Linked DNA regions of Xenopus tropicalis. The protein of the gene in region 7 purifies or fractionates together with the protein of the main gene of each other region. This does not show direct contact. Links are inferred from orthologs where the notes say so. Each region holds a gene or a part of one and is shown on either strand. Other genes may lie near its edges.

Region 1 (4,051 bases), on a different chromosome or scaffold from region 7:
CAAAAGCTAGACATCATGCCAAGATCCAAAGAAATTCAGGAACAAATGAGAACAAAAGTAATTGAGATCTATCAGTCTGGTAAAGGTTATAAAGCCATTTCTAAAGCTTTGGGACTCCAGCGAACCACAGTGAGAGCCATTATCCACAAATGGCAAAAACATGGAACAGTGGTGAACCTTCCCAGGAGTGGCCGGCCGACCAAAATTACCCCAAGAGCGCAGAGACAACTCATCCGAGAGGCCACAAAAGACCCCAGGACAACATCTAAAGAACTGCAGGCCTCACTTGCCTCAATTAAGGTCAGTGTTCACGACTCCACCATAAGAAAGAGACTGGGCAAAAACGGCCTGCATGGCAGATTTCCAAGGCGCAAACCACTTTTAAGCAAAAAGAACATTATGGCTCGTCTCAATTTTGCTAAAAAACATCTCAATGATTGCCAAGACTTTTGGGAAAATACCTTGTGGACCGACGAGACAAAAGTTGAACTTTTTGGAAGGTGCGTGTCCCGTTACATCTGGCGTAAAAGTAACACAGCATTTCAGAAAAAGAACATCATACCAACAGTAAAATATGGTGGTGGTAGTGTGATGGTCTGGGGTTGTTTTGCTGCTTCAGGACCTGGAAGGCTTGCTGTGATAGATGGAACCATGAATTCTACTGTCTACCAAAAAATCCTGAAGGAGAATGTCCGGCCATCTGTTCTTCAACTCAAGCTGAAGCGATCTTGGGTGCTGCAGCAGGACAATGACCCAAAACACACCAGCAAATCCACCTCTGAATGGCTGAAGAAAAACAAAATGAAGACTTTGGAGTGGCCTAGTCAAAGTCCTGACCTGAATCCTATTGAGATGTTGTGGCATGACCTTAAAAAGGCGGTTCATGCTAGAAAACCCTCAAATAAAGCTGAATTACAACAATTCTGCAAAGATGAGTGGGCCAAAATTCCTCCAGAGCGCTGTAAAAGACTCGTTGCAAGTTATCGCAAACGCTTGATTGCAGTTATTGCTGCTAAGGGTGGCCCAACCAGTTATTAGGTTCAGGGGGCAATTACTTTTTCACACAGGGCCATGTAGGTTTGGATTTTTTTTCTCCCTAAATAATAAAAACCCTCATTTAAAAACTGCATTTTGTGTTTACTTGTGTTATCTTTGACTAATAGTTAACGGTTTTTGATGAGCAGAAACATTTAAGCGTGACAAACATGCAAAAGAATAAGAAATCAGGAAGGGGGCAAATAGTTTTTCACACCACTGTATGTAATATGGTTTAGAACAGTTCCCTTAGCCCTGCCCCCTGTTCTCCTGCTGATCTGGCTGACAAGCCTGCCTTCAGCCAGCATACTCCAAATCCCACAATTCCCTGCACATATGATGTTAAATTTACTTTTAGAAGGAAGGACAGATCGACACGTATCCAATCTGCCACTTGCTTGTCTAACGCTAACCAGTGTCATTATAAGCAAAAATTCATAACCATTCATATTATAGTATTAGAGCGCTTTCAGTACCTGACGGGGTTCCAACGCATCGTCAAGGCCAAGCCCTCTGATGTGAGAATGTGCGCCTGGCAAAGAGAGACAAATGTTAGACTATATACACAAAAATAAGCAGTTAATAGGTAGGAAACACAAAACACAGACTAATTTTAATGTGTTGGATATCTTTTGTATTAATCTATACATACCCAGACTACCTCATACAATTAATATGCACTGTTACACGTGCTAATGCTAGGATGCCAAATGCAGAAAAATAAATGTTTTACAGCTGGATTTCAGCATATAAAATGGTATTTATTCATACTTTTTAATGGAACAGATTACAGGGATAGGTATATTAGGGGTTTCTGTGTTGTGTGGGGCTCTTTAACTAATTTTGGCTTGGAAGCCGCTGTTTGATTTAATGGATATGGAGGTGAATATATATTGTCTTAAGCGAGTTAGAGAAAAACATAAACAGACACTGCTTTCATTTGCAATTACATGTACAAATTGTTTCCTTGAAATATTTTATTATTTGGATATTTGTTAAGCAATATATATGTTTTATTTTATCATATATAGTATATATATATGTTATCAAAATAATCTGGCACAGAGCCAACAGCTTGACCAAAGTGTAGGAAAAAAGGCACTGTGGGCATTCCTTATTAGCAACATATTTCTTACTTTAAACAGGCAAAAAATTATGCTCAGCACTCAAAATTTTTGAAAAGGGGTGTATAATGCGCGTTTAAAATTGTTGTTGCAATTAGATAAATAAAATTAAACACATTTGGCTTGAAAGTAAATGAAAATAGTGATGGAACTTTGTGATGCTAATGCCTGGGATTGCAGCAAAGTTACAACCCTCTGTAGCTATTTATCACCAAGGAGACTGTTTGTTGATTAAACTGCACTGCTGCCCATGGAAACAAAAAGTGTCACGATGCAATGGAGGTGAATACATGAGTTCTAAAATATTCAGTTATTTGAATAGGAGGGCTACATGGGAACCACATCATGTTTAGCAGGTTATTTTTGTGTTTATTTTTGTAGTATTTTTACACTCACCAATCCTCTCAATCCGGGTGACATCTCGCACCTCTGGCACCTTGGTTGTCTATGAGACATAAATAACCATGAATATTGATCACGGTTTCCTTTAGACATCAATGCATGAAATACTAATTACAACTCAGCAGCAAAATAAATGCAGGAGACATTGGCTTATAAAGATTCACCAATGTTTTCTACAGAATGTGAGATTACCTCTTGAGAATTCCAAATGTATTTGCCCCACCCCTGCATGTTGTGAGCTGAACATTGTTTTTTGTCCACCTCATGCCCATTTAGCCCTACCTTTATATAAGAACAACTGCAAACTGCCTCGGCCTATGCCTGTCATTACCATCCTAACAGTCTGCCCTAAGGATCTTCCCCGTTAACAAACGGTTTCCTAGTAACAAATCAAGGTTGTTTGCAAAGCAAATTCTCCAACAATAGGATACGGGATGGTAAGAACCAAGGCAAACTGTCCTGCTATAGGATACCCAAAACACACGGGTAATTCATGGAACTGGAGTCATTTTACTCTTATAGTACTCAAGAGCAACTACATACACCCCTGTCACACCAGGCAACACAAGCCATCTGACAGGGAGTATGATGTGAAATAACAGCTCAAGCAGGTGAGCAGTTTATCTAATTGAAAGGATTTACTAACATTTGCACTAAAAATCTGCCTTATTCTGGACAATTCGTAACCAGGAAGCTGTTTTTTTTTTTTTTTTGGTCATACAAAAAAAGATGGGCTAAACTGGCAGACTGTCTATCCAGGAACAAGCAAAACAAAGCTACTGAGACTAACACCGTGTTAAATAATTCATCCCCAGAGGCCCAGAATATTCAGCATACCTCTGCCACTACACCACAAGCAACCCCCCTAGCTACTGCATGGCTATATCCAAGGATGATGGAAAGGCTGGAGGAAAGCATCTTTGGTCTACATTGCATTCAACTATAGAGTAATTAATTTGCTTACCATGAACCAACACTACTGCTCCATATAAAAGTGGCCATACACACCAACACATTTCACAGAGGGGGGAATTTACAAACAGATGCATGCCCTACGGTGATGCAGAACCCCATGGCAACCATAGTTCAGCTTTTTGCAGTCAACTGAGCAGAATGCTATGGAGTAAATGTTTCAGTTCTGGTGAGGCTGGCTGCACTAAGAGGCCTGAATATACTGCATAGAAACAAGAGCTCTTTTTCACTTTCCAATAATGATAAAGGAATGAAATCTTACGCCATGTAACTACAAACCTGAACCTATGCATAGCCACAGGAAAAGTATCTCATATCTGTTATAGGCTGTTTCTCTGGAGCTAGTGTGTAGATCTGGGTTACTCTTTTATATGCAGTGCCCCCTATACCCCATTTGGCCTGGTCAGGTTCCTGCTGCCTCTCCCTGGGCACTATATGTTGACTAACATAGAGCAAAACTGTCCTGATGAAGTAACCTATGGCAACCAATGAAATACAAATGTTTGCTGTAAAGAGGA
Region 2 (3,500 bases), on a different chromosome or scaffold from region 7:
ATTTCCACTCACCACTGGCTCTCTGGTAGGAGAGCAGGTGGGAACAGGGGTTTATATGCAAACAAATCTGGGCAGACATGTCAGTGCAAAGGGAGAGGTGGGAAGAGGGGGCCAGGTGTTTGCTACTCTGCGCTAGGTCCTTCTGAAGGTGAGCCTGGTGCAGAGTTGTTACCCCACTGCCACAACCCCATCCTTCTGTGCTTTGTAAGTAAGTTGGGTTTATGATTCATAAAAATGTCAGTGAAAGCTATTATAAATTTTAAAAGAATTCAACCAAACCCAAAACAAAAAATGTATCCTCATAATGAATCTTTCCCCCAGCTCCTCCCACTGGGGCACTAACCCCTCCAACCAAAGTTTTTAAAACTTCAGAAATAGGCAAATAATTAAAATGCCGTTAAAATATCTTTAGAGAATATAGTTGTACTTTCTGCAGGCTTCCCCTTTTCTGATTTGCTTTTTTCAGAGGACCTTTGGTATTTTTTTCTGCCAGTGGAGAAATAAAAAAAAACAAACATCAGGAAGAACTAAAGCTTAACTAAAGAAGTAGGCTAAAAATGTTATACATTGTTTTGGGCATCTGCACACAAGCTTTTTCATTGTTATAACATTAAAACTTGATATGCATAGTGAAATATCTTGCTTAAAGTTGTCACATTTTTAATCTAATTTAGGCTGCCTTACGACAAATAACTGATAAAGCTCGTGAATTTGGAGCTGGTCCACTATTCAATCAGATCCTGCCCCTGTTGATGTCACCAACACTTGAAGATCAAGAAAGACACTTACTTGTAAAAGTCATTGATAGAATTCTGTATAAATTGGATGACTTGGTCCGCCCGTATGTACATAAGGTATGAATTGCTTATCTGTATTTATTTAGATTTGTTTTACTTCTGTTAGTACATTATTTCTTAACCCCTGCATTGCAACCCATTCTTAAGGTTATCACTGTGTTGTAGATAGGTCACATGTAAGAAAATTTGGAGTCCATGTCATTTCTTTTTTTTTTTTTTTTATACTAACATAATTGTATACATCCAATATACTGATAAAAGTTTGCCTCGACACCTGCCCTAAAACATGGTTGCTGAAACACATACTCATAGATATACATATTTACACATGTAACAGAGCACTCATTGTGCAAAATTTTAATGGTGTAAGTCGACGTTTCATCCTACCCAGATGACCTTTATCAAGACATCACAAACAGTTCCCCAAACGAAACAAACTGAAATAGTCAGTAGTGGCTGAAAATTTACACCAAAGACCCACCCCATGACATAATAGGTGTGAGGAGTACACTGTAGATTACATCACCATGTGGAGATCGTTAAGGTGATGAGCAAAGAGAGATACGAGTAGGTAAAATATATTCAATAGTGCATATAAAGTGCTATAAAATTGGGTGTCCAAATGGTAGATAAAATCATATAACCCCATGGGCAAGAAGAAGAAGTGGAAGAGGGGGAAAAAAGAGAGCCTTAAAGGGACAGTAACACCAAAAAATGAAAGTGTATAAAAGTTATTACTATATAATGTAATGCTGTCCTGCACTGGTACAACTGGTGTTTTCCTTAGAAAGACTACTATAGTTTATATAAATAAAGCTTCTGTGTAGCCACGGGGGGCAGCCATTTACAGGAGAAAAGGCACAGGTTACTTAGCAGATAACAGATAAAACCCCATTATATTCTACAAAGCTTATCTGTTATCTGCTATGTGCCTGTGCCTTTTCTCCTTTTTCCCAGCTTCAATGGCTGCCCCCCGTGTTGACATAGCAGCTCATTTATATAAACTATAGTAGTGTTTCTGTTGCAAACTTACCAGTTTTACCAGCGCAGGGCAACTGTACATTATATTTTAATTACTTTAAAACACTTTCATTTTTTGGTGTTACTGTTCCTTTAAAAATAGATGAGGAAAAATGAGGAAGTAACACGTAAAGAGCCTTCAGCCCAGGCATAGGTTAGCAGAATGGCAGCATTTGTAACACTGCAGTGTCATGCGGTTATCCTGGGAAAGAAAATATATGATCAGCCTCCTGAGAGGAAACCGTCACAATGGCTGAGAGCAGCACTTTACTTGGGGTTGCAGACTTGTATAGTTATCATGAATATCCATGCTGAGCAGTAGGGGTGCCCCAGAGCACTACTTTGCATGAAAAAGGTTCCATAGACTGAAGACCATAGTATAAATAATCCACATTGAGTGGCATACTCGCGGCAATGCCCCGGCACATTAGTAGTGGCATACTCGTGGCTCAGATAGTAGAGTATATAACAACAAAGAAGCTGCATCACAGAGAAATAAAAGCAATGGATGAGGCACAGGTTAGCCCATTACTGGAGGTATCATGGCAATTAAGGGCTGCCTAATCGCCGGTTTAGATGACAATATGTTTAGGTCAGAGTAACCCATGGTGTCAGGGATAGAAAGGGGAGAGAAGAGAAAAAAGGAAATTAAAAGGAAGAAACTAATAGAGCCATGGTCATATTAAGTTGTCAACAGTATATCAAGAGGAGACAGTGGCTGAGCAAATCCTAAGTAGAATCCACATAACCAATATTATAGAAAATTAGATCATGTTCTATGTTCATATCACGTCAAGAGGAAATATTAGATACCAGTAGTAGCATATGCATATTAACAGTAATTGTCATTACAGTAGTAGAATAAGTCTCATGGGAAGCAGCGGTAGCTGACTTTGTTTAGTACATTACAGATTGTTCAATCTACATTCCATTTGTAGAATACGCTGAGCACTGTTCCCACCCCTGGGTGAGGGTAGGCAGTGATCTATCATCATACATCTCATGGAATATAATGCACGTCCCTTTTCAGGGAAGTGTCTAGCTACAGGTGTTTTAGAACTGCCCTTCTCTAGAGCTTCCTTAATGGAGAATTGGGGATTAATGCAATGATTTGCCATCCTGTCCTGAAAGAGGTGTTTGTTTTCCCAATATAGTACATGCCACAGGGACATGTAATGAAATATATGACAAAATCAGACAGGCAGATAAGATAGTGACGTATGTAGCAGCAATTGCCATTTTGTGGACGTGCGAAAGAAGGACCAGTTATAAGACTGTGGCAAGCAGTACAATTAGGGCAGCGGTAGCACCCACGTTATCCTTCTGTTGGGGGGGATTTGCTGGAGGAAGAATAGAATGGACCAACATATCTCTAAGATTGCATCCTCTGCGAAAGCCTATGCCCGGTTCTTGCAATTATCAGTTTGTAAAATATTCCAATTATCCTTGACAGTCCTTAGAATATGTTCAGCACCAGGGAAGTAGGTTGTAGAAAAAAAAATAAACGTTCCAGGGCTTGTGTTGGTGTGTGAATTTCTGTTGATAGCCATGTTCATTGCACTTTATTACACTCTTGAATATACTGTTATTTTACCAACTCGTATCTCCCTTTGCTCGTCATCTTAACAATCTAAACACTGTGAAGTAATCTACAGTGTACGGTTCACACCTATTATTTCATGG
Region 3 (3,799 bases), on a different chromosome or scaffold from region 7:
ACTTCTTTAGTTTCCATGCTATTTGCAGTATTCACACCAAGTCAGAGCCAGACAGATAGGGGAAAAGTTTCATTTGCTGATGCTGGAAGTGTCTCTGGGCTCAGTGCTGCTTGTGTCTCCGCCTGCACAGAACAGCAGGGGGCGCTCCTGTTACACCTTCATGATATTAACATTGTAAAAACAGATGAGACCCAGGAGGAAGGGCAATGCCAGGCTTTCCCACTGTATCTCTATGGCCTATAGAAGACAGTTCATTGGTTTTTACGCTGATTTCCTCTCACTGTTACACACATGACCCGTTATCTGTCGAAGCTGCCCATGTGGGAAATCCGTCCCAGCTCAGAACATACCTATTTCCCTCTGGTGAGATCAGGCACTTGTGCAGAGACGGGGGTGCTATCTAATATATAATGGTGTGCCCCCACCCAGGCCAGGGTTACGGTTGTGTGGGGTGCTCAGTACAGACCCCCAGGAGCGCACAGGATGATAAAAGTGGAAGATTTCTGGAAAACACTTTATTATTAATATTACAGTGAAAAACAAGTCAGAATTTCCTTATAAAAGCCGGTATGTGCCCGGCCTACGAGGCAGCACTGGGGCATTTGGGTGAAACAGGGAGACCCATCCCTGCGCCTATCAGCACCCAGGCAGAGACTACTCGCTACATTTCCAGAGTGAAGAGCCATAAAGCAACCAGAACCCCCAGCAGCGCTGCCCAACATGGCGCCAGAGTCTCTGCAGCAGGACCGGTGCTGTTACCCTGGAACCTGTAATCCTTGGGGCAGGGCCTTAATAATCTTCAATATTTTCCTTATTCTCCCCGCTCCTCTCTTTCAGCTGATAGACTTCATTCTCCATTTGCACAATTGCTCTCTCAATCTCGTAGTTTTTGCTCACAAGAGACACCCACCTGCAACCGGCACAGAAAGCAAGTTAGAGACAGACGAAAATGACTACCAGTTCTATTAAAGCTAAAATATTAGCATCCCATAAATACCATACACTGTACTAAGCACAATTCAGCAGGAACAGCCCCCTAAGTTTGCTCATAGCCTGTACAGAGAGATACCATAAAACTATGGCACATAGGGATTCCCCTGTACTAAGCACAATTCAGCAGGAACAGCCCCCTAAGTTTGCTAATAGCCTGTACAGAGAGATACCATAAAACTATGGCACATAGGGATTCCCCTGTACTAAGCACAATTCAGCAGGAACAGCCCCCTAAGTTTGCTCATAGCCTGTACAGAGAGATACCATAAAACTATGGCAGCATAGGGATTCCCCTGTTCAGCAGGAACAGCCCGCTAGGCACACTCAAAGCCTGTGTGTACTTCATTCATGGAAATACAGTATAGGGGAGTAGGTATTCCCTTGATAAGTTCACCCTAGGTGTGAACAAAATGCACAAATCTCACTTACGTTGACTCCATCTCTCTGAGTCGGGCACCTGCTGTCAGCTGGGAGTTCTTTCTCTGCCAGTTCAAGTCCTGAATCTTTTTCCTGTTCCGGTAACAAGACAAATAGTGAAAGCGTTAGAGCTGTTAAAATGGAAGTGTGCAACTGCTAGTAATACCCCAGGGCTAGGAACTACCCCACGTAGGTAACTCGAAGCTCATCCCAGTAATTACACAGGAACTGAGCTCTAAATCTCTGCACTTCCTGCTTCTGGGCTGCTCTCTTCCCCACGGCCAGGGAAGGATTATATATATATATATATATATATATATATATATATATGGTTAGTATGGGCTTAATGCCGTCTCACCGTAACTTCTGGAGATCTTTCTGCGCGCAGTCGATCATATGCAGCAGGTTCCTGGGAGGAGACAGAAGAATCACGTGACTGAAGGGCGGCAGTATCATTGGGTCATGCTATATCCTGTGCTGTAAATCAACACCCCCCCCCCCCCCCCCCCCCAACGCCATGTTCCCAACTCACTCGTTATAGACTTTCCAGGCGTTACAGCCGTGCTGGGACATGAGCTCCAGGTTCTCTATACGGACGGCCTGGTGTTCCAATTGGGCCATGGAGTTATTGACACATTCCTGCCACGCGGTGATGTCGTTCCTCTGGCCGGATAGGGGGGCCGGTAACTCATACCTAGAATCAGAGAGAGGGGTATGGTATTTCCACGGATACCCTTCAGCACAATGAGACCACATGGAAACCACAGGGCTGTAAAGCAATGCACAGATCTTGGTCCAGTAACCCATAGTAACCAGACGGCACTCACCTCTTCATGCTGAGCAGTTCGAGGGGCTGGCGCGACGAAAGTCTTTCAAACTCGTTCCTCATGATTTCAGTCTAAATAAAATGAATGAAAGTTGGAATCTTGGTCTCCTCTGTGAAGGGAACATGCCCCCCACCCACGTGATATTAGCACCAGTAGGTGCCAGGGTGGGCTCTGTGCATGCAAACCCCTCGGGGTTATGGGACTATGAAAGCAATCTTTGGAGAACTGACAGACATAAGGACGAGTAGTAGCAGAATGAATAATGAAGTATTAATATTTTGCAGAGATATCAAGTTGCTAGGGTCAAATTTACCCTAGCAACCAGACAGTGGTGTGAATGAGTATAGGGGAGGGGCTGGATAAAAAGTAACAGTAACAATAAAATTGAAGCCTCACAGAGCAATAGGTTCTTAGTTGCCAGGGTGAGTTCTCTAGCAGGGAAGCCATTTGGTTGGCCAATGTGCAACCACCGTGAATAGAGCAGAGGGGCACCCAGTGTAGGGTGCTGCAGAATAGGGAGAAAGCCATTACCTCAAATGCGGAATAGTCGGGGGTGGGCAAGTAACTCAGGTAGTTCTTTGTAGGCCGATATCTTCTGGTCTCCTCTTCCACCAAAGCTGCAGCCTGAGAGCAACACAGACCGGTTATTTACAGTAGAAATGCCCCCAATGGGAGTCATGTGACACACAGGGGCAGCACAGACCGGGTATTTACAGTAGAAATGCCCCCAATGGGAGTCATGTGACACACAGGGGCAACACAGACCGGGTATTTACAGTAGAAATGCCCCCAATGGGAGTCATGTGACACACAGGGGCAGCACTGACCGGGTATTTACAGTAGAAATGCCCCCAATGGGAGTCATGTGACACACAGGGGCAGCACTGACCGGTTATTTACAGTAGAAATGCCCCCAATGGGAGTCATGTGACACACAGGGGCAGCACAGACCGGGTATTTACAGTAGAAATGCCCCCAATGGGAGTCATGTGACACACAGGGGCAGCACTGACCGGGTATTTACAGTAGAAATGCCCCCAATGGGAGTCATGTGACACACAGGGGCCGCACTGACCGGTTATTTACAGTAGAAATGCCCCCAATGGGAGTCATGTGACACACAGGGGCAACACAGACCGGTTATTTACAGTAGAAATGCCCCCAATGGGAGTCATGTGACACACAGGGGCAGCATTGACCGGGTATTTACAGTAGAAATGCCCCCAATGGGAGTCATGTGACACACAGGGGCAGCACTGACCGGGTATTTACAGTAGAAATGCCCCCAATGGGAGTCATGTGACACACAGGGGCAGCACAGACCGGTTATTTACAGTAGAAATGCCCCCAATGGGAGTCATGTGACACACAGGGGCAGCACAGACCGGGTATTTACAGTAGAAATGCCCCCAATGGGAGTCATGTGACACACAGGGGCAACACAGACCGGGTATTTACAGTAGAAATGCCCCCAATGGGAGTCATGTGACACACAGGGGCAGCACAGACCGGTTATTTACAGTAGAAATGCCCCCAATGGGAGTCATGTGACACACAGGGGC
Region 4 (4,050 bases), on a different chromosome or scaffold from region 7:
GGCCAGGTGTATTACTTTTGTAATAGTTAGTACTACATTTTTATAATAGTTGGGAGTAGCCTGGGGGGGCCTGTGGAAAGTGTAACCTAGGAGCCTCGCATGACATTAATCCAACACTGAGCTAGGTCCCTATTTCATATTCATATATATTCTAACACACCATGGTTACCAAGCAGAATCATGGTGCAGTTAGTGGGCTTGCTTTATAATGCTAGAGTCCTGGGTTTGATGCACACTAAAGCTACATTTTTATTTGTTTTTTTTATGTGTATGTTCATAGGAATAGTTTTGGTTTTATGTAGTTTATTTTGAGACATACGATTTAGGAATAAACTCGGGGTTAGATTAGATTTTAACAAAAAAAAATGTATACAAATAAAATTCACTATTAGTGGTCTTTATTTGGGGATATTAGGTTTAGAGTTAGGCCAGGATTAGCCGACAAAATATAAGTTTTTCCATATCAAGAAAAGTGTATTTTATTTTGGGATATTAGGTTTTGGGCTAGGATAATGGTTTGGCTAAAATTTAGAACTGATTTCTTTAATTGCCATTAGTAGTCTGAGCACTGAATATACTATATCTGAGGATCTGGCCTCTATAAACACACATTCTATGCAGGGAAACCAAGGAACATGATACCAAAAATTGTGGGTGTGGCATATTGGGGACCTGGTGACATCACTGAGCATGGGAAAAATCCCTGTTGATGTCACTTATGCACAGGATGTTCTTTTTTGGCGCTAAACACTGTAGGTACACTGCCATTAAAGGAACAGAAACACCAATTAAAGCATGTATAAAATATAACGTTCAGTTGTTCTGCACTTGTAAAAACTGATATGTTTGCTTGAGAACCCCTACTATAGTTCGTGTAAATAAGCTGCTGTGTTGCCATACTGCATCAATTCAGTATGAACTAGTTCTAAATAGTGCGGGTTACATAGCGTTAGCCCATTACAGATAAGCAGTGTAGAATACATTGGGTTTAGTTCTAACGCATGAATCTTCTTAGCCTACAAAGTACATCTGCTAGGTAACGTGTTCTCCTGAATGGCTGCGCACATGCTACACAGCAACTTAGTTGTACAGACTGCAGAAGTGCAGACTTTGTCAACTTGACAGCTCAGGTATCTGTGGGGAAGGCCGCCCACTTTTTTTAACTGGGTACTAGGCGCCGCCATACACTTTGCACGGCGGCGTCCGGCGTCACTACGTTTAGATACGTGCGTATGACGTCACGGTGTGGCGCGGTGAGGCTCCTTTAGCCGTGGATTGTTTCTCCTGTCGTAGGGAAGGAGCTAGAATTTAGCCGCGTCGCTGGCCTGTGCGTCGAGTTAAGAAAGCCGATACTGTCCGGGAAAGGGCGATAGCCCCTCTCTGATGCAGTGTATCTACCATGGAGCGGGTACAGTCTGACTACGACTCTTATGCCATAGAAGAACCCAGTGATGAGGAGCCAGCAAATAGCAGGTAAATCTATCTATACATTTAGGGGTATATTTATCATGCTGTGTAAAAAGTGGAGTGAAGCATTACTGGTGATGTTGCTCATAGCAGCCAATCAGCAATTAGATTTCAATTGCTGCTATGAGCATTTACACTGCATGATAAATATACCCTTTAGGGTTCATTTATGTTTATTAATAATGCAAACGTTCATATTTACGCTTAAATACATATATTCTTTCTGAGTAATAGCACATAGATTACAGGGTTTTTAGGCTTCTAGCACACAGACTGGAAAGTGCCTGCAATTCTGCCTTGTTGCCATCATTTCCACGTTTTACGAGTATTTGAGACAAATTAGCACCTTATTGTAACGCCCTTCTCTCTTTTTATAATCCCTTTCAAAGCTCTGAGGATGAACTAGATGTGCTTTTACACGGGACGCCTGATCAGAAGCGCAAGTTGATCCGTGAGTGTCTAACCGGAGAAAGCGAATCATCCAGCGATGACGAATTTGAGAAAGAAATGGAAAATGAATTGAGCTGTAAAATGAAGACCATGGAGGGAAGCTGGCAGCTGGCTGTCCCCGGTGTGTTAATAGGATTTGGTGATTTAATTTTTATATATTCCTATTAAGGTTAGATCTGACTAGGGATTTATTATTATTTAACATGAAGTCTGATAAATAATATAACTTGGTGTCTCTGTATAGGATAATGACCTTTGAGGGTCTTACTTTTATTTTATGCTCCTCTTGTCCCTTTTTGTCTTATTTAGCTGAATAAACTGCACAGTAACCAGTGTAATGTACTATGTGAATTAAAGTCTTGGCTGTGGAGTTATATAGCATTATATATACTATTTTACATTTTTCGGTACAGTTTAATATTCTATACACAAGCCCATTTCTGACCACTTGTATGTTTTTTCCTTTTTGTATTTCAGTTGCATCCACAAGTAGTGGCACTACAACTTCCAATTCCACTAAGCCCGAGTATTACGATGATGTGTATTTTGATTCGGATTCAGATGATGAAAGCTCCAATGGTAGATCCATCTGTTAAGTGCTGTAGTTTGTGTGTTTTTTTTTCTTTTTTTTTTTTTTTTTTCTTTAAATATTATGTATAGAGTCACTAAGTACCAGATAAGTCATGATGTAATGTAGACTCTTGTATATATTATATAATTATATTCCTATATAATTGTGTGTGTGTGTGTGTGTGTGTGTGTGTGAGATCTTAAGGTATTTTTATTATCCATTAAAGACCCAAAAGTGCAGTTCATTCTATTTAATGGATGAATTGTAAATGCTGGGAAGCATCTAGGCACCGTTAAGGAAAACACAGCTCAAAAATTCAGGGGTGTGGGGTGCCAATTTGTGAGGCACCTACCCCAGTTGGCACCTGATATCCTGATCTTGTAAGCATTTTATTTAAGATTAAGATCAGATTATGCTTCATTAGCAATGATGTCATGTTGAGCCCAGAGAGAGGAGGCAAGATGTGCTACTGCACCACTATACAGTACCAGGATTGGCATTGTTTAGAGCACCAGGTTTTCCAGTAATGGAAAAAAGGTGCCTCGCAAATTTACACCCCTAGGATTTGGACTTCTGTTAATGTTTTCAAGGACAAAGAAAGCCTTATCCATTGGGAAATGGCAATACAATTAGGCACCTTCTCCACCATCCCTGTGTATTTAGATGCTAAGTTTTTATCCCCAGTGCATTTTAGGTGGAAATAATACACCAGCCAAGGGGGGGGGGGGGGGGGGGGAAGTAGCATAGCTTTGCCATTTTGCTTAGATTTCCCAGCAATTCCTTAACAGTCCTAGACTTTTACAAGTAAAGTAAGGGTAAGAACTCACAGAGCGGTTGTGTCGTCTGTGATAGATCTCTGCTATGGCGGGCAACAAACCCCTCCAAAAAGGCTTTCCACTGCCAACAATAGGAGTCGCCAGGGAAAGCCCTTCACAATGCTTCGGTAATCTGAAGTCGCGCAAAGTTTCCTCCTGCAGGCAACTTCGGAAAACGAAGAGATGCGAAGGGCTTTCCACCAGCGACTGTTGTTTCCAGTGGAAAGCCTTTTCGAATTGGTTTGCCCCCCCCCCCCAGGCGACAATACTGCTCCGTGGGTTCTTACTCTAAGGTTTACATAATATTAGTGGCACTGTCTTCCCCTCCCCTTAATTAGGGCTTTTCTTGTGCACCATCTTGGGACTTATATTTTCATTGGTTGTTTATGTGCATGTTGTATCTGGTTTGCAGCTGTTTATATAACTTTCTCTACGTATTCTTTGTAATGTTTGTCGCTTAACATGAGCTGGCATGTGTGCAACTTATCTTAAAGTTAGTAAAGGGTGGTGTGCTTGGTAAAGGGTAGAATGGGCAGTCATGACAAATACAAAAAAATGTCACTTGTTGCTTCATTTTGTATTATAGTGTAAAATTGTTTTGCGTGTGCTTTTCACTCCCATTTTTTATTCTTGTCACTTATCTGTTAGGGATTTGTTTATGCATAGACTGTACACATCTGTATATATTTCTCACATCTATCTCTGTGGTATTACAGTTGTTCAAAAGAACAAGCAGAGGCGTAAGCC
Region 5 (4,181 bases), on a different chromosome or scaffold from region 7:
TTAATGGTTAAATGATTCCCTTTTCTCTGTAATAATAAAACAGTACCTGTACTTGATCCCAACTAAGATATAATTACCCCTTATTGGGGCAGAACAGCCCTATTGGGTTTATTTATTGGTTAAATGATTCCCTTTTCTCTGTAATAATAAAACAGTACCTGTACTTGATCCCAACTAAGATATAATTACCCCTTATTGGGGCAGAACAGCCCTATTGGGTTTATTTCAATGGTTAAATGATTCCCTTTTCTCTGTAATAATAAAACAGTACCTGTACTTGATCCCAACTAAGATATAATTACCCCTTATTGGGGGCAGAACAGCCCTATTGGGTTTATTTAATGGTTACATGATTCCCTTTTCTCTGTAATAATAAAACAGTACCTGTACTTGATCCCAACTAAGATATAATTACCCCTTATTGGGGGCAGAACAGCCCTATTGGGTTTATTTCATGGTTAAATGATTCCCTTTTCTCTGTAATAATAAAACAGTACCTGTACTTGATCCCAACTAAGATATAATTACCCCTTATTGGGGCAGAACAGCCCTATTGGGTTTATTTAATGGTTAAATGATTCCCTTTTCTCTGTAATAATAAAACAGTACCTGTACTTGATCCCAACTAAGATATAATTATCCCTTATTGGGGGCAGAACAGCCCTATTTGGTTTATTTAATGGTTAAATGATTCCCTTTTCTCTGTTATAATAAAACGGTAACTTGTACTTGATCCCAACTAAGATATAATTACCCCTATTGGGGGCAGAACAGCCCTATTGGGTTTATTTAATGGTTAAATGATTCCCTTTTCTCTGTAATAATAAAACAATACCTGTACTTGATCCCAACTAAGATATAATTACCCCTTATTGGGGGCAGAACAGCCCTATTGGGTTTATTTAATGGTTAATTGATTCCCTTTTCTCTGTAATAATAAAACAATACCTGTACTTGATCCCAACTAAGATATAATTACCCCTTATTGGGGCAGAACAGCCCTATTGGGTTTATTTAATGGTTAAATGGTTTTAAGCAGACGTAAGTTATGGAGATTCAAATTACAGAAAGATCCCTTATCAGGAAAACCCCAGGTCCTAAGCATTCTGAATAACAGGTCCTAAACCTCTACCATATTAGCCATTGAAATAGCCTGGGTGCTTCCAAAGCTTGCAATGTTTACTTACTCAGGTGACTTAACTAATAAAGGGTATCTCCTAACCTTACCTTTACCACTTTTACAATTACTTCACACTATTGCAGCTGATAAACTACAACTCCCATAATGCCTCTCCTCTCTCTTGCCAGGGAATTCCTCTCACTTGCCGGGGAATTCTGGTAAATGTTGTTCCGCTACCGCTAAGGGCGCAGTTGTTCCGCATGCAATGCTAACCTCCAGCCACCAGAGGCCGCTGTGGGGAGTTACTGTATGTTCGCTATGCGCTGTGACTAGCAGTAGAGCGGCGGGCACGCTGGTGTGTGTGCGCGTCACTTTGCACAACAAGCCGGAGGCCGCTTTCCCCGTTTCTCTCCTTGCTACACCGTGCGGGCCCGGGGCCCCTAACCAGCAGCCAGGATGCCGCGAATTATGATAAAAGGCGGGGTGTGGCGGAACACCGAGGTGAGAGGGGTTATGGCGTTGTGTAGCGGCTCAATGAACTCACATGGGCGCCTTGATATTTCCAACAGGGGATTCTGGGAGTTGTTGTTCACAGGGTCCCAGCTTGTGCTTTGGCCTTTTCCCTGTTAGTGTTTCAGGATTGTAAAGCTGACCAATTGCACAGGAGTATTTGAGTGAAGCTGAGCTGCTTAATTATAGGAAATAATAGTGTAATTTAGGTGCAGGTAACTAGTTCAATGTGCCTCTATGGCCTGTAGAGAAAGCCAATATAGGTGGGCCAACTTATACTACAACTCCCAGCATCCCATTGCTCGCCAGATTGTTTTGTGATCGAATTCCAACCAAGGTGTGTTTTCCTATAGCAACGAATCAGCAGATTGCATTGGTTGTCAATTGGTTGCTATGGACTGCAGCCACTGGGGGTTATGCCTTAGCTATTTGCATTATAGTCTCAGTCTTCATTTTTAATGTGGGGTTTTTATTTTAAATGATTAAGCTGTTTGTTCAGCAGCTCTCCAATTTTGAATTTCATCTGCTATCTGGTTGCTAGGGTCCACTTCATCCTAGCAGCTAAGCAGTGGTGTGGAAGGTGAATAGAAGAATGGTCTAAATAGAAAAGTAATATAAAGTAAAAAAAAATAAAATTGGGCTCAGTGCCCTACGTTTTGAAAGATGGATAGGGACAGAGGGGAAGGGAAATCCATCAAAACCTTTAAAAAAAAAAAAAAAAAAAAAAAAATATATATATATATATATGCATTTTGCTTCATACTAAGATACCCCTGTACCCTATGTCTCCCTCACTTCTCATGTGTGGTGTTGATATACTATAACGCACTTTCCTCTTTATTTTCTCAGGATGAAATCCTCAAAGCGGCTGTTATGAAATATGGGAAAAACCAGTGGTCTCGTATTGCTTCCTTGCTGCACAGGAAATCGGCCAAACAGTGCAAAGCCCGATGGTACGTCCCGGCCATTATAGCCACGGGCCCGTAGCGTTCCATACGTTCCTGTTCTAATATGAAACCAGATAAACTGCCCCGCAACAGCTGGTATTCTGCATTGGTGGAAGGGGGGGGGGGTAAAGAGAATGGGCAAAGCAGGCATGGAAAGGGTTACACATGCACATAATGCACTGACAGTCTATCCATATTGTCTGTAATGAAGGGCATGGTCATGTGACTGAACATTGGGCTGTAAAGCTCTGCGTATATTGATGGCGCTATATAAATAATGATAATTTGGGTTACACCTAGAAATGCACCTTGAAGAAATGTGTATACATACATGTAGCAATATGTATTGCTACAATACATACATACATACCTACCTACATACATACCTATGTACATGCATACATACCTATATACATACATATTGATATATTAGCCCAATATTGCACCCTGAAAACATTTAGGAAATTGTTTCAGTGTGTAATCTTCTGCTATGAGCATTTAAAGTATTTTAAGTTTTTTAAAAAGTAAACATAATTTCAAGCAGTATATATCAATTAAAAGTATGCAGCCTTTTCATGGTTTTTAATGTAATAATATGGTTTGGAACAGTTCCCTAAGCCCCGCCCCCTGTTCCCCTGCTGATCTGGCTGGCTACTTTGTGACTCAAATAAAATGTAACAGTAGTCGCCTGTCCCCAGCCTGCCTTCAGCCTTCATCCTCCCAATCCCACAATCCCCTGCTGCACACGTGATGTCAATAAGGAAAGGAACATCCTAGTGCAATGCATTGTGGGTTATGTAGTTCCTGCATGCTGTCTGTAAGCTGTGGAGAAGTTGTTACAATCTGTAACATCAGTGTTTTAGTCCCTTCTCCCCTGCCAGGATTTCAAATGATGCAGAAAGAGAAGGACTGTTTTGCAGCTGGATTTCAGCATATAAAAATGGTATTTATTTTTACTTTTTGACGGAACAGATTTCAGTGATAGGTATATTAGGGATTTCTGTGTTGTGTGGGGCTCTTTAACAAAAAACAGAGTGATATCACAGTCAAATTAAGTTCCATGCTTTCACTTAGATTTGTTGGCAGACAAGCTAACAATTACCAAGTGCCCTTCTGAATATCTGTAGTAACATTGGTTGCTAAATTCGTTTAATGTCTCTGTGACAGGTATGAATGGCTTGACCCAAGCATCAAAAAGACAGAATGGTCCCGAGAAGAAGAGGAGAAACTACTTCATCTGGCCAAGCTGATGCCAACTCAGTGGAGGACAATCGCTCCTATCATAGGAAGAACAGCCGCCCAGTGCCTTGAGCACTATGAATATTTACTGTACGTACCATTCATTCTGAAAATGTACATTTGAATTGTTGTTGAGCAGTTTGAACAGTTGTTTTCTGATACAGCAGTGTGAATACGTTCCCATTCTATCAGGCAAGAAGTAACTGTACCCTTAACCAGAAGAGGAATTTGATATGGGTTTTTTTCTTAATCGCTATTGTGTCCTTTGCTTGTTTTTACCCCATACTGAGGTATAGTTTACCAGCCCAAACCTGATTATTAGGGATTCTGACCATAGCATTTGCTAGTTAAAGGACCAGTAATTT
Region 6 (4,295 bases), on a different chromosome or scaffold from region 7:
ACAAAATGCAGCCCATTCTTCCACATTGGCACATACTGACACAGGTGCACAGCATTAAACTCAGGCGGTACGCATCAAGTTGCGTTTCACCTGCATCAGACGCTTGGATGCACAGGCGGTATGCAAGAGAAATCGACCACAGGGGTAAATGCCCCAAGTTTACACAGAAAAAAACCATCCAGCAAAGCCAGACCCACAATACAATTATTGTAAATGTGTGTTTAGTACCCATATTAAAGGTTAAACAACTTTAACAACAGCAATTGTCAGGACATACATCTCTATAGAATGCTGACTTATAAATACATCCTGATTATACATTTCCCAGGGGGTGGCATCAAAATGGCATTAATTCTTGGAAAACCTAAAATCTGAGGGAAAAAAACTCCCTGTATGGGGGAGTTAAAATATGGGTCAAAAATTAGGGTTCTACTGTAAATGAAGTCACTTATAGGACATAAATTTATAGGTTACACTCTTTAATTAAGGCACATATTTTTCTCTACACAATGAAAAACACTTTTCTCCCTAAGTTATCTGGGCAGGGCCCTCTTTACCTCTTGTATCAGTTATTGGTTGTTTTTATATGTAGCCATTTATTGTTCAGTTCTGTGGAATTTGTTGGCACTTTATAAATAAGCGTTCATAATAATATCAATAAAAGACAGTCAAAAAATAGCTTGCCTACTCCCAGGGACTGGGGTCATACTAAACTTTCACCAATTGTGTAGGGCCACCTTTTGTATTTCTGAGTGGCCAAAAATCCCATACATTCCACCCATGAATTTGATAGCAGTCCTGCTTTTAGTATCTTCATTTATTCATCACCATAGGACACATGTCACACACATATACCACAAAGCACCACTAAGCAATGATAAACATTACATCATCTACTACATATCAGGTATACACTAACAATGTTTAGTGGCCACGCAATATGAATGAACAGATAAATAGGTAGTGCTCATGAATTGTTTGTGTTTGGACTCCATATACACACACTACAGACAGTCACACATTAAAATGTGTAGCACCTATAGAATGGGAGGCATGTGAAAGCAGCTAAATACATTCACTAGGTCAGCGCTTTGTGGCCATGCAGTTATTCATGCAGGGTGAGTGCAACAGATCGTGACAGTATTTACAAAGCTATCAATATCCATATATGTATGTGTGGACACATATTCAAACCCATAGGAAGCAGCAATAATGTAGATTTATCTTAGCTGTAAGAAAAACTCGAGTATAGGGAATGCGCTGTAATGTGCTGGTACTAGTACTTCTAACCTTCGCACGCAATGAAACTATATGTTTCGAGAGAATTCTCATATATCTTATATATATTAACGCATCACTATAATACCATTAGCGACTACCTGTGCCTGTTGTCCGATCAGTCTCTGTTGAACCCGCCCCCTGTACCCAGATATTAGCTCCTCCTCCCGGAAGCGCTGGCTCCCGGATACTCGGGTGTACTTGCTCTTTTCGCAGCATGGCGTCCGTCACCATGACAGCCGCACCGGGATGCGGTCTCACAATGTGATTGGTAGTTGTCCAGAAACGGAAACAGGCAATTGGCTGGCGTTCCAAAAGGCGCAAGACTAGGAAGTTGGGTAGTGGGCGGTCTTGGTGGAAGTTGTCAGAGCGCATTGTGAGTAGCTGGTTGTTATACGGTCCTGGTAAGAGGTATTAATAGAGGTTTAATCTAAAGATTTACAGGGTCACGGTGTTACGATAGTCTATTGCAGTAGCGCGGAACAAACAGATCTGGAACTTAGTGATATGCACAGGGGCCCGTTCGTTTCGCATGCCTGTTTTGGCTGGCTAAGCACATGGCTCTCAGGCTGGCACTTATTGCCGTGGTTGGCAGACACTTTATTTAATTAAAGAAGAACCTCCCTATTATTTGTACATACTTCAGGATTAATAGCTATGTGTTCAGGTTCTTGTCAGTGCCAAAATCTGTCCTGGTTCCTGTTATCTTATTTATTTATATAGCACTAGAACATTTCAGCGGCGCTTTAAATTTTAAAATCATTTAACAAACAAGGGTCTTATGGTATTTTAAAAGGGTTGTTCACCTTTGAGTTAACTTTTAGTATGATGTAGAGAGTAATATTCTGAGACAATTTGCAATTGGTGTTCATTTTTTTTTTATTTTTCGTAGTTTTTTAGTTAAAAAGGAGAACCAAACCCTAAAAATGAATATGGGTAGAAATGCCATATTTTATATTATAAACTGACTACACTGGCTTAAAGTTTCAGCATCTCTATAGTAGTAATGATATAGGTCGTTACAGTTGTCACAGGAGCTCCCCATCTTGGATTCTTGATTCTTGGAGTTTCAGCAGCTATCTGTTTGCTAGGGTCCAAATTACCATAGCAACCAGAGAGCAGTTTTAATGAGAGGATGGAAAATGAATAGGAGAGGACCTGAATAGAAAAAGTAGTTATAAAAAGTAACAATAAAAATAAAACTGTAGCCTCACAGAGCAATAGGTTTTTGGCTGCTGGGGTCAGGGACCCCCGTTTAAAAGCTGCAAAGAGTTGGAAGATAAAGGCAAATAGATCAGAAACTATAGGAAATAAATAATGAAGACCTTTTGAAAAGTTGCTTACAATTAGCCATACTATAATATATTAAAAGTTAATTAACTTTAATTGTAAACCACCCCTTTAACAGTTTAGGATTGGTGGGCCAAGCTCACAATCTAAGTATGTTCAAACTGTTTACCAATCAGCTCTGTTCCAGCAGCAAGAAATGTATTTCATGAAAGGAAAGCAAGGGGTAGTTCTCCTTTACAAGGCACCTATCATGGCCAAATTGTTTCCCCAATTGGTCAGAGAATGACCCTAGCAAGCCCTATACCACCTGCCCCAGGATGAAGCTCCAAGGATGGATGGCCATGTTTGGTCACATGCGTGTAATGAGCGAGTCTCCTGTACATGCCCAGACTGGCAATTTGTGGATTCTGTTAATTGCCGAAGGGGTCACTGTAAAATTCCAAAGACAGTCACTAATTATTGGACTGGTAGGGTACTATGTACTTGAAATGCCAGGGCCTATTTTAAATCCCAGTTCGCCTAGCTCCTGGTTTATTAGTTCAGAGATGCTGGGCACTGCAGCCAATGTTTGGGGACAATTATGCATCGCAGGCACTGAAATGAACATGCAGGAAATACATCCCACCTGTGTTTTAACTTCTCCCCCCTCTTAATCTACCTTCAGATTAGGGTTGTGGCAGACACAAGAAGCCTATTGCATATCCCCTCCTTTTTTTGAGGGGTGGAGGGGTTTATTTTGATGGATGCTGGATTTAAAATACTATATAATATTTAATAATAGATATATATAGTAAAGCATTTCTGTTTTTAGCACTTTTTGATTATTTAGAGGTACTGTTCTTCTGAATGTAGCACTTTTTATCTTTAATTTTTTTTTTTTTTTTCTAAAGGTTTAGTATGCATTCTTTTTGTCTTTACAGGTCTAATAAGCACAATGCCTGATACAGCTGAGAAACAAAGTAATGAGGTCAAGAATCCTGCTTTGGAAAAATGTCTTGAGGTTCTGAAAGGAGCACAGACTGACAGTGAACAGTTTGCTGCCCTGCTTCTGGTGAGACTGGTGTTTGTACTGTGCTAAAATGTAAATATACTTTTCCACTTGCATTAAGCAAGTGATTACTAGTTGGTTGATTCACATGCAATTAAATTGTATGAAGTGCTAGTTTGTTGCACAAACTGATCGAGTGCTGTAGGGCACCACAAGTTAATGAACAAAAAAAATATTTATTTACATTAAATAAATCCAAAGCTTTTCGACTTGGGGGGGAGAGTTTGGTTGGGTTTATTTGATGTAAATTGTTTTTGTTCGTTAACTTGGAGTGCCCTGCAGTTACTCGATCAGCTTGTATTTTCCAACTATATAATCTACTTCTAGTAGATTAGAAGTGGTGAGGATGTTCAAATGACCAGATCTTTGAAGGATTTGGTCATTACCAAGCCAGTGATAGTGTTGTAACAGTGACCTATGCTACCTAGAGAGAATCACATTCATAGGCTGATACTTCCTCAGCTACTGGTATTTTTTAAACCTTTCTGATTTATTTGGTGATCCCTGGCCAGATATTGGTTGATAGGTTATTTGTCTTTTCGTATACAGGAACCAGTAAGCCAAGAGTGCTTTAGAAATTTTACTGGTATTTGTTATGTTCTTTTAACAAAAGATTATTATGTACTGTAAAACTACTTTTTTCTTTATGCATTCATTTTATTCTTTAAAGGACAAGGTA
Region 7 (3,994 bases):
CCATGCACCATGGCATTGTATAAATGCCATCAGGGGATGGTATTTCTACAATGCTCAAGAAAGCATGACATTTATATTTAATATGTGTCCAGTTTCTTTTGGTAGGGTATTTGGTGGCAATTTAAGAATAAATATTATCTGAGAGTCCGATAAACTTTTATAGACTTAGTGAGGCTTTACATTGACAACAATAAAAAAAATAAATCAACTACAATAAAAACAACAAGGAAAGGCAAAGTCACTTGGGGGTGCCAAAATGTTAGGCACCCTCAAGTGACTTTAACCGCATACCTTGTACCCCGGGCTGGTGCCCCTGTTAGGAGAAAATTGCACCAGCCCGGGGTACCTGTAGCGAGCGCTTCCTCCTTCCGTATTTGCGCTTCAGGCAAATTCCCAGGACAATCGCATGCGTAGTAGAGTGAAAAGCCGACTTTATAGTTTAAGTTCGTCTTTTTCACTCTACTGCGCATGCAAGCGAAGCAGGAAGGAGGAAGCGCTCGCAGCTACCCCGGGCTAATGCTATTCTCTCCGAACAGGGGCACCAGCCCGGGGTAAAAGGTAAGGTGATTTAAGTCACTTGGGGGTACCTAACATTTTGGCACCCCCAAGTGACTTAGCCTTTCCTTCTCCTTTAACCCATGCAATGCCATAAATATAGGATCCATGGCACTTGCATGATGGTAATTTGGTGTTGTGCCACATATTCTCTGGTGCGGGTATATAAAGGGACTAACAAAATTGTTGTTCTATGGTAGGCCCTGATTAATACATCTTCATGTTTTTGGCTTTATTGTTACAGAGGTCTCATGTGCAGGCCATGTATGTATGTAATGAGAATTGCCTTACCACATCCACATCCCTGTCATCTCTCCCCATGTCATCGTCATCATTATCATCATCTGAATCCAATTCAGGCCCAATGTAGTTACCAAATTCATCGTACAAGTCAGCGTCCATTTTAGCTGAGCCTTATTTTAAAATATAAAAAAATAAATAAACTCACTGGTCAATGACAGAATCCCCACCACAAATACACACATTAAAGGAATACTCTCTTTCCTTTAAAAAAATAAAAAAAATCAAGGTTTCGAGGCAACTTTTCTTTAAAGTCAGATGAAAGGAGACCCAAGGAGCCATTATCTATTGCCAGCCTACTTCCCCACCAGCAGCAAACAGGCTGGTGTTTATTAGCACTGCTTTGCTCACTGCCTATCCATGCATCTGCCCAACTCTATCCACTCCCCTTGGACGCTGGGTTGTATGCAACATGTTATCTCAGAAAGTGAATACAAAGGAAAGGCTACTCACTAATGTTCTTGCCGGCAACTGTTAGCAACAGTTATAACTGTTACCTTAAAATCAAGAAGCAATTATTTGTATTGGGGTAACAGTATAACAGAATAAGGTGAAAGTAGAAATAAAGGCAAATAGGATCATTCTACAAGTGAAATATAAGCCAGAGATGAATTATGACTCTCTACGTTCCACAGCCACAGTTAACCTTAAAGGAACAGTAACACCAAAAAATGAAAGTGTATAAAAGTAACTAAAATATAATGTGCTGCTGCCCTGCACTGGTAAAAGTTGTGTGTTTACTTCAGAAAGTCTACTATAATTTATATAAATAAGCTGCTGTGTAGCCATGGAGGCAGCCATTCAAAGAAGAAAAGGCACAGGCACATAGCAGATAACAGATAAAACACTATTGTATTCTACAGAACTTATCTGTTATCTGCAATGTAACCTGTGCCTTTTCTCCTTTTTTCCAGCTTGAATGGCTGCCCCCATGGCTACACAGCAGCTTATTATATAAATTATAGTAGGGTTAAGCTGGCCATACACGCACCAATACTATTGTACGAAACCCCGTTTCGTACGATATTCGGTGCGTGTATGGCATGTCGGCGAGTCAACCGATATCGCAGGAAGCTGCTGATATCAGACGACTCGCCGATCGGCCAGGTTAGAAAATTTTGATCGGGCGCCATAGAAATCTGCCGTCAGGGCTGAATCGGCAGAAGGAGGTAGAAATCCTATTGTTTCTACCTCCTTATCTGCTGTTTCAGCCCTGACGGTGTGTGGCGGATCTGACATCATCAGATCGCCACGTGTATGGCCAGCTTTACTGTAGCAAACACACCAATTTTACCAGTGCAGGGCAACAGTGCATTATATTTTTATTACTTTAAAGCTCTTATTTTTGGTGTTACTGTTCCTTTAAGCTTTTACCATAATACAGACTGATGTAGTCTGGCCAACTGGAGGACTGCAGGTTGGACATCCCTGACATAATTAGCAGCTACAGTAGGGTATCCATCATTCTGCTCTAATGTATAAAGCATAAAAGAGGAAGGCTTATGCCATACACCCAATGGCCCAACACCAAATCAAGGGTACCCAGGTAATGTGGGGGTTTACTACTTGTCACATCATTGCCCCTGGGTTATCCACCCCAGATAGGACACCATAAAAAATGTACTTTTACTGCATTACACCTAGAGGAAAAAAATGGCAAAAACATTACCATTATTTGAAAACTTTGCCCAGATTAAAAAAAAAAGGGGGGGGGACTTTCCCTTTAATGCAATATGGCAACACAATAAATGTAGTTAGCCGTGCTGCTTCCTACACCCTCTAGCAACCCAGCCAGGCCCTGTGCTTACTGTATATCCACCTAAAGGTATCAAGCGAGATTCATTTCTAGCTACAAGGAAAATATCCCGTTTCCTTTCCATTCATTGCAACTTACCCGCTCACGCCGCTCTCACACACACAGACACACGCCACTTCCTGCGACAAGGCCACGAAGGACCCCGCACGTCGGCTATACGCTTCTCAGCGTGCAGTACTCGCAGGCCTTCAAAGTTAAAACGCCCTTTCCTTTTTATGACTCAAATGAGGCTACATGCTAGCAATTGTCATAATGTGCAGTTATACCTAGAATTGCACTAATTTCATATGAAACTTGCAATTTGATCAGGCACCCTGTTAAACACCTATTCAAATAAGCTCGCCTTTAAAATACGTAAAGGACCTAGATGTTTTCTGATTGGCCAACAACAGTCTTTGACGTTCGTTCGTGTGATTGGCTGATACGAAATGGAACGTTTCCATAGGAACGGAGAAGCGGAGGCAGACGGTGAGGAGCAGGTAGGTTTGTATGGCGCTTTCACTTGCTGGATTGCGTGCAGTTTGCTTAAAAGTACATATTCCGATTTAGAATTGTTAGATATTTTCAGGGTATGCACCTGAAATCTCCAACCTGCTGCACTCCAATATGTTGAGTCTAAGCAGGGCCGCTGCTGGCCAAATGGGTGCCCTAAGCAGAAATGTACTTTTGTGCCCCCTCCCCCAAATATTACGGAAGTAAAAATAAAATAATAAAAAAAACACCTACTATAGGGGCCCCACTAACAGTGCCCCCAATTGCCCCCATAGACACTGCCCCCATAGACACTGCCCCCATAGACACTGCCCCCATAGACACTGCCCCCATAGACACTGCCCCCATAGATTGATTGAACTATCTGGGACAGCGGGATGCGCTATAAAAACCGGCGGGACAGTGTTGGGGGTATGTTATAATATATAAAAACGATTTTTTTGAGCAGCAGGGATGGTGCCTCCCTGGGAGTTGGTGCCCTATGCAGACTACATACTCATAGTTACATAGGGTTGAAAAAAGACCAGAGTCCATCAAGTTCAACCCATCCAAGTAAACCCAGCACACACAACCCACACCTACCAATCTACATACTCACATACATAAACTATAAATACAACCACTAATACTAACTGTAGATATTAGTATCACAATAGCCTTGGATACTATGCTTGTTCAAGAACTCATCCAAGCCCCTCTTAAAGGCATTAACAGAATCTGCCATTACCACATCACTAGGAGGGCATTCCCCAACCTCACTGCCCTCACCGTGAAAAACCACCTACGCTGCTTCAAATGGAAGCTCCGTTCCTCTAATCTATAGGGGGGGCC

What was found.
Region 1: the proteins of eftud2 (region 7) and ruvbl2 purify together in Homo sapiens (affinity purification with mass spectrometry; 5 studies listed by BioGRID and IntAct, with this or other methods). This does not show direct contact. The link is inferred for Xenopus tropicalis from reciprocal best matches to the Homo sapiens genes EFTUD2 and RUVBL2.
Region 2: the proteins of eftud2 (region 7) and sf3b1 purify together in Homo sapiens (affinity purification with mass spectrometry; 4 studies listed by BioGRID and IntAct, with this or other methods). This does not show direct contact. The link is inferred for Xenopus tropicalis from reciprocal best matches to the Homo sapiens genes EFTUD2 and SF3B1.
Region 3: the proteins of eftud2 (region 7) and bcas2 purify together in Homo sapiens (affinity purification with mass spectrometry; 3 studies listed by BioGRID and IntAct, with this or other methods). This does not show direct contact. The link is inferred for Xenopus tropicalis from reciprocal best matches to the Homo sapiens genes EFTUD2 and BCAS2.
Region 4: the proteins of eftud2 (region 7) and eapp purify together in Homo sapiens (affinity purification with mass spectrometry; 4 studies listed by BioGRID and IntAct, counting the BioPlex papers as one, with this or other methods). This does not show direct contact. The link is inferred for Xenopus tropicalis from reciprocal best matches to the Homo sapiens genes EFTUD2 and EAPP.
Region 5: the proteins of eftud2 (region 7) and cdc5l purify together in Homo sapiens (affinity purification with mass spectrometry; 6 studies listed by BioGRID and IntAct, with this or other methods). This does not show direct contact. The link is inferred for Xenopus tropicalis from reciprocal best matches to the Homo sapiens genes EFTUD2 and CDC5L.
Region 6: the proteins of eftud2 (region 7) and ncdn purify together in Homo sapiens (affinity purification with mass spectrometry; 4 studies listed by BioGRID and IntAct, with this or other methods). This does not show direct contact. The link is inferred for Xenopus tropicalis from reciprocal best matches to the Homo sapiens genes EFTUD2 and NCDN.

What each region holds. Positions count from the first base shown.
Region 1 is NC_030683.2:113,417,080-113,421,130, forward strand, and holds the start of ruvbl2 (ruvB-like 2), read right to left. Parts: upstream 2,801-4,051; 5' UTR 2,605-2,800; coding exon of another isoform or gene 2,556-2,604; intron 1,568-2,555; coding exon of another isoform or gene 1,512-1,567; intron 1-1,511. UniProt on the Homo sapiens protein: Possesses single-stranded DNA-stimulated ATPase and ATP-dependent DNA helicase (5' to 3') activity; hexamerization is thought to be critical for ATP hydrolysis and adjacent subunits in the ring-like structure contribute to the ATPase activity.
Region 2 is NC_030685.2:45,880,922-45,884,421, reverse strand, and holds part of sf3b1 (splicing factor 3B subunit 1), read left to right. Parts: intron 1-674; coding exon 675-854; intron 855-3,500. UniProt on the Homo sapiens protein: Component of the 17S U2 SnRNP complex of the spliceosome, a large ribonucleoprotein complex that removes introns from transcribed pre-mRNAs.
Region 3 is NC_030682.2:7,012,579-7,016,377, reverse strand, and holds the end of bcas2 (pre-mRNA-splicing factor SPF27), read right to left. Parts: intron 2,862-3,799; coding exon 2,769-2,861; intron 2,309-2,768; coding exon 2,238-2,308; intron 2,105-2,237; coding exon 1,943-2,104; intron 1,820-1,942; coding exon 1,769-1,819; intron 1,504-1,768; coding exon 1,423-1,503; intron 911-1,422; coding exon 790-910; 3' UTR 501-789; downstream 1-500. UniProt on the Homo sapiens protein: Required for pre-mRNA splicing as component of the activated spliceosome. Component of the PRP19-CDC5L complex that forms an integral part of the spliceosome and is required for activating pre-mRNA splicing.
Region 4 is NC_030684.2:108,121,522-108,125,571, forward strand, and holds the start of eapp (E2F-associated phosphoprotein), read left to right. Parts: upstream 1-1,250; 5' UTR 1,251-1,399; coding exon 1,400-1,473; intron 1,474-1,856; coding exon 1,857-2,056; intron 2,057-2,394; coding exon 2,395-2,496; intron 2,497-4,019; coding exon 4,020-4,050. UniProt on the Homo sapiens protein: May play an important role in the fine-tuning of both major E2F1 activities, the regulation of the cell-cycle and the induction of apoptosis. Promotes S-phase entry, and inhibits p14(ARP) expression.
Region 5 is NC_030681.2:148,162,113-148,166,293, reverse strand, and holds the start of cdc5l (cell division cycle 5-like protein), read left to right. Parts: upstream 1-1,381; 5' UTR 1,382-1,576; coding exon 1,577-1,621; intron 1,622-2,479; coding exon 2,480-2,583; intron 2,584-3,744; coding exon 3,745-3,906; intron 3,907-4,181.
Region 6 is NC_030678.2:82,060,958-82,065,252, reverse strand, and holds the start of ncdn (neurochondrin), read left to right. Parts: upstream 1-1,495; 5' UTR 1,496-1,654; exon of another isoform or gene 1,655-1,689; intron 1,690-3,488; 5' UTR 3,489-3,502; coding exon 3,503-3,619; intron 3,620-4,295. UniProt on the Homo sapiens protein: Probably involved in signal transduction in the nervous system, via increasing cell surface localization of GRM5/mGluR5 and positively regulating its signaling. Required for the spatial learning process.
Region 7 is NC_030686.2:17,862,544-17,866,537, reverse strand, and holds the start of eftud2 (116 kDa U5 small nuclear ribonucleoprotein component), read right to left. Parts: upstream 2,801-3,994; 5' UTR 2,750-2,800; intron 2,688-2,749; exon of another isoform or gene 2,664-2,687; intron 969-2,663; 5' UTR 958-968; coding exon 847-957; intron 1-846. Other genes in the region: ccdc103 (coiled-coil domain-containing protein 103), read left to right, coding at 3,100-3,150. UniProt on the Homo sapiens protein: Required for pre-mRNA splicing as component of the spliceosome, including pre-catalytic, catalytic and post-catalytic spliceosomal complexes. Component of the U5 snRNP and the U4/U6-U5 tri-snRNP complex, a building block of the spliceosome.